Linked DNA regions of Drosophila melanogaster. The protein of the gene in region 2 purifies or fractionates together with the protein of the main gene of each other region. This does not show direct contact. Each region holds a gene or a part of one and is shown on either strand. Other genes may lie near its edges. The genes, in order: CG10887 and Khc-73.

Evidence for each region.
Region 1: the proteins of Khc-73 (region 2) and CG10887 purify together in Drosophila melanogaster (affinity purification with mass spectrometry, with the first as the bait; one large-scale study listed by BioGRID). This does not show direct contact.

The regions. Positions count from the first base shown.
Region 1 is NT_033777.3:20,112,739-20,117,644, forward strand, and holds CG10887 (uncharacterized protein), read left to right. Parts: upstream 1-2,099; 5' UTR 2,100-2,200; coding exon 2,201-2,240; intron 2,241-2,298; coding exon 2,299-2,338; intron 2,339-2,394; coding exon 2,395-4,345; 3' UTR 4,346-4,401; downstream 4,402-4,906.
Region 2 is NT_033778.4:15,528,978-15,534,154, forward strand, and holds the start of Khc-73 (kinesin heavy chain 73), read right to left. Parts: upstream 3,283-5,177; 5' UTR 3,145-3,282; intron 2,419-3,144; 5' UTR 2,213-2,418; coding exon 2,158-2,212; intron 1-2,157.

The DNA.
Region 1 (4,906 bases), on a different chromosome or scaffold from region 2:
TCAGATTTATATTTAATTAAATAAGTTACACAATAATGTGTAAACTGATCAACAAAGATCACAAAATAATTTTTATCATCTAAAGTAACTGGAGTAATAGGCCCACAGACATCTGAGTGTACTACAAAAAGTGGTCTTTTAATATGGGTCTTATCTTTCAATTGTTTAAAAGGAAGTCTTGCCTGTTTACCATTTAAACAGGGTTCACAAATTTCACATGATAACTCTAAGTTGTTTAGAAGACTTTGATCACTAAACATATTCTTTCGTTTTATTTCTAATAATTTGCCATCGCTTATATGGCCAAACCTCTCATGCCATAAACGAAAATTATTTTTATGCTTAGCATTTATAGAATATGCTTGAAAATTGATCACAGGTACATTGTTTAACATACCTGAATTTTTGACAACCATTAACCCATTTTTCGAAATGGTTACACCGCTTTTGTCAAATTCGATCGACATTCCTGCCTCTTGGAGACGCTTTACGGACATCAAATTACCAGCAGCTTCCTTACAAAAGAGTACATCCTCCAGTGTAATCTCATGGTCATTCCGTAGTCGGACAATACCACGCTTAGTGGCATAAATAAATTCGCCTTGCTTGGCCACTGCAATCTTAAGTGGAGGCACAACCTCCACACTGTCGGTATACAGCGACTCATCATTTATAAGATGGTCACTAGCACCAGAATCAAGGACAAACCCGCAGTTGTCCATCACTGAAGTATTATTCACTTCTTTTACCATAAACGCAATGCCGTGTGATGTTGCAGTTTGAACTTGTTTTTCATTTTCTTTATTTTTATTATTTAATATTCTTTTATAATGGAAACAATCTTTTTTAATGTGGCCTTCTCTGCCACAGTGGTGACACTTGACTTTATACTTTGAATTTCCCTTGAATATTTTCTTTGGTTTAGTTACCCGATTTTTAAACAAATTATTTTTATAAGTGTTATTATTGTTGTGCACGATCGCGTTCATAACTTTCTTGCTTGTATCGTTGTGGTCATTTTTAATTTTAATTTCTTGATCCAGCAATCTATTTTTCACAAACGCCAATGTCAAATTTTCTTCAGATAATGTCTCTATCGCTGTAATAATTCCATCGTAACACGAAGGCAATGTGATCAGTAGATGAGAAATTTTATCCATCTCTTCTATTTTTGCACCAGCTGCCAACAATTCACTTATAAGTTCGTCAAAAATATGAAAATGGCTTAATAGTGACATCTCACTTGATAGCTTCAGAGAAAGCAAACGTTTTCGCAGCGCCAGTTGCGACGCCAAACTTTTTCGTTCATAAACGGCGTCCAAATTCTCAAGAATCTGACGCGCCGTAATGTCGCTTGTTGCGAAATTTAAAAACGAGTCGCTTAGGTACTCTATTATTGTACTTTTTGCACAACGCTCTGCCTTTTTCCAGGAGTCATCTACCTCGTTAGGCATTAAACCATCAACTACTTTAAGCACATCTTGCTCGGCTAAAAGAGCCCTAATTCTAAATTTCCAAATCGCGTACTTCTCGCCATCAAACGGCTTAATATTACGTTTAGCCTTGTCCATTTTTCACTCAAATTCTGAGAAGGAAATAATTTCACAAGAATGTGAAAAAAAAAGCTATTTCACAAGAATGTGAAAAAATGCTATTTCACAATTTATTTTCACAATCTTTAATTCACAATTTAATTGTTTATTAGGCATGGACTGGGCCCATAACCTGTTGTAATTTATAATTTATATTTCCTTTCTTAATAAATAAATAAATAGTCAAGTTTATGTTTGAGTTTTATGATTTATATTTTAAGTTATTTCAACTGCAACACCAGCACCACGACCTACTCACAGCAAAAAACGTACAAGAAGGAAAGAAGGAATAAAAAGAGTGGTATTCTCTTACAATATGTTTTATGGCATAAAAGGTGTGGCCATTCATATCAAATATAAAGTAGTGTTGTTTAACGTTATTTTTGTAGGTTGAATAGTATATTCCAACAGTTTTAAACCAATTAAAACAGTAGGGGAACAACACTGATTGTTAGAAAAGCTGACAACTCTTGCCCAGACAACTCTGTCAAACAATCGATAAATCAGTCACTTGGCTCGGCTGTCATTACGTAAAAAACCATATAGTTTTTTTTCTGTGCTGCTTGTGAAGAAATTGTGTTCCACTAACTCTTCGCCTTACGCTAAAAATGGCTGACCCCAATTTGCACGACAATCAAGTAATAAAAGGTTTGTAGTCTATAGAATATTAATAAAAATTGAATTATTATCTACGCTTTTACTTTAGATGGTGAATCTTCCGAAAGCTGGCCTGCATTCAATAGGAGGTTGGTTTAGGTACATATATTCTGCAGAACTTAGTAATCCCATATGGCTTTTCCAGGAGCCCGAATCCCTCTTTCTCCAGCGTTGATCAACAAGGAAATAAAACTAAGGCACGAAGGCAGCACCAAAGCCGTTCACATTCTTTTCACTCAACAGCAAATAGTGTTCCTGAATCGCAGGGACCTCTTGAATCTCGATCTGATCTGAACGCCAAGACATCATCGAAAAGCGAACGACCATATATTTCCACATCCAATTCAAGCTGGACCTCTGAATCCAGCTCCGGAAGTCCACCAGATTCAGGAGAATCGTCTTCGTTTTCGACTTCATCTTCGCTTTCATCATCATTATTATGTGCTCCAGAACCGAAATCTATTAACTGGAGCAACCCGAAATCTTCTTCAAATATCTCAAATGAAACCACAACTTCTGCGGGACAGGTTGGCGGCATTCCGAGCTTTTCAGAAAGTGATGACCAGGGAAGTGTCGACTCTGAAACAGTCTCTAACATCAGAAAATCAACTTCCCTCATAGAACTTAAAGACAATTTCAATACAATCATTGACGAAGATAATAATCAACAGCTCTCTAACGAGGGCAACATATTGTCCCCTGGGACAGTTTCTATTTCCAATTTTCCAAGCTCGAATGAAGTAGCAAATGGATTGATTGATGAGATGGAACAAGACCTACTCTCGAAGCAACATTCTACATCGACCCCAATAAATAAAAGTAATACAATGGAAAAAGAATTGCTCCCATTGCAATGTTCTTCATTTCCACCGACATCATCCGAAGGTAATATTTTAAAACCCAGGGTCAATCCTGTGCCATTAGGTCCCAGCTCAAATACAGAGTATGAATCAAATGGAAAAAATTACAACATTGAAAAAAGGTTGTCCCAATTGCGATATAGTTCAGATGAAAAGGAATCCGATGTCTTGTCGTATGCCTCTTCTGATAGTCTCGATTTAAATTTCGATTACGGTGATAATGCAAAGAATCAAAATGGAAATGGAATGAATGGAGAGGTAAATGGTGATAAGGAGTCGCAAGTTCTTGATATAGAAGAACAACGCAAACCTTTTGAAAAAGATGTAGCAGTTAAGTTCCAGACCACCATAACAACCCAAAATTGTGGACTTCTAAAAGGTCCATCGCAGTTTCTGAAGATGCCTTATTTCATACCCGTGGAATCCAAGGCATACGTGCCTGAAACCTTTCAGGATCGCATGACTAAGAATGATTTGAAGGACGAACAGTCACGCGAGGATTTCATAAATCGTCTAAAGGCAACTGTTAGGTGGCGCGAGAACGAAAACAAAACCAAGGAGTCCAATGCGAAAATTGTTCGTTGGTCCGATGGCAGCGAAACCTTTCATGTGGGCAACGAGGTTTTCGATATGATGCATCACCCGGTGACCGTTAACCAGAACCATTTGTATGTTCGCCTGGGCAGCTTCTACCAGCCTCAGGGTTTGATCCAGAATAAGTTGACTGTGCGTCCCATGCTGGACTCCAATTTCGGACAGAGTCATGTCCAGGCCTTGCGTAATCGAGCCACGAATAAGCCACAGTCTGGGTGCGTTAAGGTGATAACGAACATGGGCTCCAATCCCGAGCACGATCATGATCGGCGCATGAAGGAGGAATTGTCCAAGCTTCGCCAGGAGGGTCGTGAAAAGAATCGCGCGCTTATGAAGAATCATCCTCCGAAACGTGACAGGCACTATCAAGGCTCCGATCACAATGTGGCCAAAAACGCAGGGGCATTCGAAGAGGACGACGGTGAGGGTGCAGATTGCGAGACAAGCTCTGCATTGGAGGTTACGAATGAACCAATGCGCAGCGAGGAAGATACCGAAGATCATATGGACGATGATGCTTCTTGGAGCTCACCCAATTCCCAGGAGGAAGGAAAGCAATCGAGTTCCGAAGACGATCTCCCGATCGGAGGTGCTATCCGCAAGCCCACGCGTTTGGTCTATTCCGGATCAGATTCCGACTAAATATTAAATAGCCGCTAGATACGAAATCTCAATAAACATGTCATTAGCCAGCACGCAACAAAGCGTAGAGCCAGGAGTAGCTGCAACTGATATTTAATTAACAATTTCTCGCGCCCACAGTGGGTGTACGGCCATTGCCTTAATTAGGGGGCGTGGCAGCTGAGGCAGGCAGACATTGGTAGTCGGCGCAGAAATTGCTAAAGGTCACAATGGGGTCGTGATTGCAGCGCGGAGCACTCTAACCCAAATGCCATTGTCCGACTGCCAAACTGGCCGGCATACCAACGCCCAAAGCAATTAATGGTAGGTGCATTGGATTGCTGCCTGGTGTTTTTGGGAGATTGGACTCGTGACTCGGTGGGTCGTATGTGGGTTTTGGGGGCGGCAAGTGGGTGGCTTTCTGGTCAGCGGCTCAGTCGGACTTTGCTCTTTGATTCCAGCTTTATATTTGTCACCGCCATCTCAGGTAGCCGAAATAAGATACATACATACTTAGCTTGTTAAAAATTTGAAATTAATAAGTACTTTATTTGTTAGCAAAAGGCGTTATCCTGAAAATAG
Region 2 (5,177 bases):
GTGACTTCATTTCGAGCTTGTTTCGCCGCCTGACTTTTCAGCTGCCTTTGCCGTGTCTTTGCGTTTGAAATTGCCTTTTCTGTTTTCATTTTACGCTCTGCTGGCCAGCTCAACGCGGAGAGGTCACCAGTTACGGACATGGCCCAAATACACTGTTGACTAATGCCAGTCACTGCAAGTGTGTAACACGCTGGGTATCGCAAAATACAAGCCTTTATCAGCCCAGTGATAACGATTCTGCGTTGCTTATCGCAGACTTTCCGGTGACTACGACTACTACTCTCTTCAGACACCAAAACAGCAACGGATCAAACAAGCCAAAAACATGACAAAGTACAACATCGATACACGGTCAAACTTCTAAAAATACACGCGGTTACCAAGTCCATGCGTACGCCTAACTTGGCCGGAAAATATTACAAGTGACACATTATGATGGATAACCAGAAGTAGTTGTTTGTTTGCCAATAAACAAGTATATACAAGTGTTACGGATACAATTAATTAGTTTCACAAGTAGCTGGCACTAGCGTGGTAATAAATTTGTCAAAATTACAAAGTTATTTGTAATTAAATGAGCATCTGTGATCGCAGAATTCATCACTTTAAGGTCCCATAGCTACTAAGACTAGTTTGTGTTTCATTTGCAAATACTTGCAAGTGCACAATTATTGCACTATGCTCCACAACGACTACCTCTAAAACCAGAATGCAATTGCAATTATCCTAATTCATCCATTAGCTTCGCTATAGATAAAGACCTAATAGGTTAGAGTCCATCTAATCGAGTTATGACAAACTGAGTATGAAAAGAAAAGCTACAAAATAACAACAGAAATGTGTTTTGATGGATTATACAATCATGTAAATATAAACAAACATGGAGTCATCGGTGTAGGTTTGTCATTCAATCAATTAGGATCGTGACCCATATAAATGGAATACTTTCTAAGCCTGCCGTTTGTTTATATGTGTATGAAATCAAACTTTACGTTATGCCAATTTATAAACAGAGGGTGCACCAAAATGCAATAAATGTAACTGATTCAATGCCTTATGTAAATATAAATAAGATGTGCAATCAAAGTTTGCCATTCAATCAATACAGCAGGGGATCCAAGTGGACCTTGCCCCACGCACAGGCACATAAATACAAGCATGCAGCACGCTTATATGCGTTTACATAGGTATCTTTTGCATATGGTTGGGTCGTAGAGCCCCTTTTCCGCTGCCATCCTTCGCTTCCGCCGACGCCGCCGCGAGTGTGAGTCATGGATGAGCCAAATGAATGATCAGTGTTGACATTGGAAACGCTGACGGCGCTGTTGCTTGTTTTTCATTTTTAGTTATTTTGCACTTGCAACACACTTCGTGGCTGGCAGTGGGTAACGCGAAATTAGCTGGAAACGCAAATCGTTTGTCAGACGAGCAGACCGGGGACCTTGCAAAACCATCCCAATCCATCCCATCCCATTACCATCCCGTAGGTAGACGCTGTAGTTCTGCAGTTAAGCCCTGCGAAAAATCCGCTGGCGCAGCAGTTGAAAAACGAAACCGTATTTCAAAGGAAGCGAGGAAGCCCATGTAAATTTCGTTAGCCTAAAAAAACAGTCGCTTGCCTGGTTGGTTGTTTGCATTATTGATTGCAGGCAACTGCAGTGCTTGTTGGCCATTGTTGGGAAACAATGTGAAAAAGTGGGGAAAATGGAAAGTGCGGGCCACTCAAGGCAACTCCTTATGAACTATATTATCAACTCTTACAAAATAAATGGAGTGCCTGGCATCTGATGTTATAATTTTATAGAAATTGCTTAACCACCCTCACGACCAACCGTAAAACTACTTTATTATACTAAAAAAAAGATGAAAGTTTTAACATAACAATAGATAAATATGAGCGCATTAAAACACAAAATTAAAGGGCGAATATTTAAGCTTTAAGTCTGTAGCTTTTCAGATTTACTCCAAAATTATTTTGTTTTTTAATTTACGATAATGTAACATTTTTGTACAATGAAAAATCAGAAATTATGTCTATCTGTTGCTTATTATTGTGCTCATGTCGATTGTGAAACATTTATATTTTGAAACTCCATAAGTTGGCGAATTTTTCTCCCAGTACAGGGGATTATGTGGGGCATGTAAATCGGCACTTACCTCGGCGATTGAAGGGTCGCACCCTTACGGCGACTTTGATCTTATCACTAGCCATCGCGGATGTGGATGCAGCGGGTGTTGTTTTTGAATCTCTATTTAGATGAAGCGGAGTGGATATGCGGATGGGCGGGGCTCCCTAAGCGGGGGCTGCAGCGGGGGGCGTGGCTAGCTCCTTCTCCTCGGGCTTCGTTGCTTTTGACTTTTATGACCGTTAGTTGTTAGCGGTAGTTGTCGTCCTCGCGGGAGTTATGAGCACGCAATCTGGAAGGCAGGTGGAAGTCGTAAGCTGACTCACAAGTAAGTGGCTTTTGTGGAGCGCCAAAAAAAATAAATTATATATATTGTGTGAGTTCAATTAGCGCCACGCACACACGCGCACACATGTCTAACAGTAAGTGGGTGGTGCGGGGGGTGGTTTTCCATTTCGTTCTCGCCGTTTGTCATTCACTTTGTTTTGCTTTTGCTTTTTTGCTTTGTTGTTACTACACACACACACACTTGCACGCACACGGATACGTTTTATTGTCATGTGCTGGCATTCCGTTATTTACGCGAGACACACTCAAATATTTACTGGAAATTAGCTAATTAAGAATGTGATTCTAGTGTCCTGTCCGATTTTTCAGGGCTGTCCAAATAAATGCGAATATGTACATACAGACTTGATATTCTTTTCGCACTTTCACACACAACTACACCCCCACACACACACAGATCAGCAGGTATGCACTATGCACAGGTAGCTCTTTTTAACCCTCAAAAGCCACGCGAAATACAAAAACTTTACGAGCTCCACGAAAAGTTGGCGAAAAGCAACGCCAGGCTCCACCGCCCGCGCAAAAAAGTCTCGAACGCAGTGTGCGACTTCTTTGAAGAATCGATTTTTATGGCTCTTTTTCTTTCGAGGGGAGCAACACAAATGGGGGCCTCTTTTGGCTGCACACTCGCATTGTTTTCATTTGGGATATGCTTATCGTTTGACCGCACCTTTAGCTCCTTCGTTTTCGCACTTGGTTTCACTTCAATTTTGATTTTCTGTATTGCGTTTTCATTTTTCGCGTTTTCGTTTTTCTCAGCAATTTTTACTAGTGATGCAGAATCATCGATTGCTCTTGCGACTATCGATGAGTGTGACCGTGTGCAGGGTGCCCAAGAAATACCACAGTTTTCTTTTCTAAAAATACCAAAAACGATGTGCTTAATTCTAGTTTGGGTGGGTGAACTCGCTAAGTTCTAAAATTGAATTTTAGTGTGACCATTCACAGACCGAAAAAAGGGCTTTTTAAAATATCGTTATTTTCAAACTTTGGATCTATTAAAAAAGTGAATATATATATAATGATGTTATTGCAAATATTATATAAAGGTAACATATACAAAGGTAGAAGTATTGTCCAGCTAGAATGTTAAAAAATATTTAATAATTTTAAAATTAAATAAAACTCGTTTACTTAGCGTACTACAAACTAAAGTAAATAATCTGACCACGATCTTAAAATCATTTGAATTATCTTTTAAGAACGAATTCTTTGAGTCCCAGATTCCCCGGACCATTTTTTTTCAAACCAATGTATACTTTTTTTATGAAATAATCATAAGTTTTACTTATAGAACGTCATATTAGATTTAATTTGTTGTTTGACTTGTCATTTATTAATTTAATGTGGAAATATATCGGCTTCTTCCGTTGTATATTCCTGTAATTTATTTTGACCCTGTTGGAAAATAACCGTTCCCTAGTGGAACCATTCCATTTGCAATTGCATTTTAAGTGGCACTTCCTGTTTTGCAATGCTGATTTTCAGTACAGTGAAACCTATTTTGTTCCAAAAAAACTGAAGTTGGGTCGCATAAGTGGGCAACTTGATCAGTTGCGTTTTACTTTTTATTGATATTGATATATAGACGAATAAAAAAGCTACCAACGGAAAATGAAAAAGAAAAATGTAGTTCCTGTAGGTTTCTAGTTTCGCATATGCAAGGATCCACTGCCTCATTAAGGGAGCGACTTTCAACTCGGAAGAACGCCTCCCCATCATAGCGGAGTCAATGAACGCGATCGATCGGCGTGAAAAACGAGAACTCAAGACCGGCAATTTGAGCCCGGCCTAGTGACGTATACGTGTGAACCAAAAAAAAATAACGAGCCGATCGCAAATGCAGGCCGTTCCGATTCCCAAAAATAAACAAAGCGAAAAGCAGTTTCGCTTTCATCGCTCGGTTTGTTTTCATTCGTATCTCATTTTTTGTTGCTGTTTTTTTATTAATTTTTTTAACTCAATACCCGCTTGATACCTGTTCACGTGCGTTTTGGGCGCTCACGGAGTTTATAAAGGTTTGGAATCGCCGCAAAGGGTCACAGTATCTGCGAAAGACGCGAAGCTGCGAGTGTCGCGCTAAAAAAAAAAACACACACATCCTAAAAATTAGTTTCGATTGCGAATCTTACAAAAGTAAATAAACAAGACAAAAATACTGGTAAACTAATATTTTTTGGAATAAGAGCGAGTGCCAAGGACAGTTCTATATTGATTGGATTATTGTTTGAAAAGTAGGTCACTTCGATTAGTTGCAGATCCCGGATTGAAATCGATCCTTGACCCCCAAACGCGATCATAAGCAGGCAGTGTCAAAATATAAATCACCATTTTTCCTACAGCCATTCCATTAAAAACCAGCGTGCAGCAAACATGGCAAAACCAGAGCCAGTTCGCGAATATTAGTTACAAAACCCATCGTTTGTCCAAAGAAAAAACGAGGGAAAAAGAAACCAAACTGGGCGATCGGGATCCGCAAAGTTAAGGTGAAGGTTCATTTGCATAGGCAAAAATCGGAAAATAATATAATAGTGGATGCGAAGCCAAGCGCAGATTTACGATTTACCCTTGAAATGGTTTCATCGAATAGCCATTAGCTGCCATAAAATGCAAACTGGCTATCTGGGGACTTACAACTGCGAATCTCGACGACGTCTTCGAGAGCAAAGAAAACATTAGCCATATTATATTTATATTTTCGAT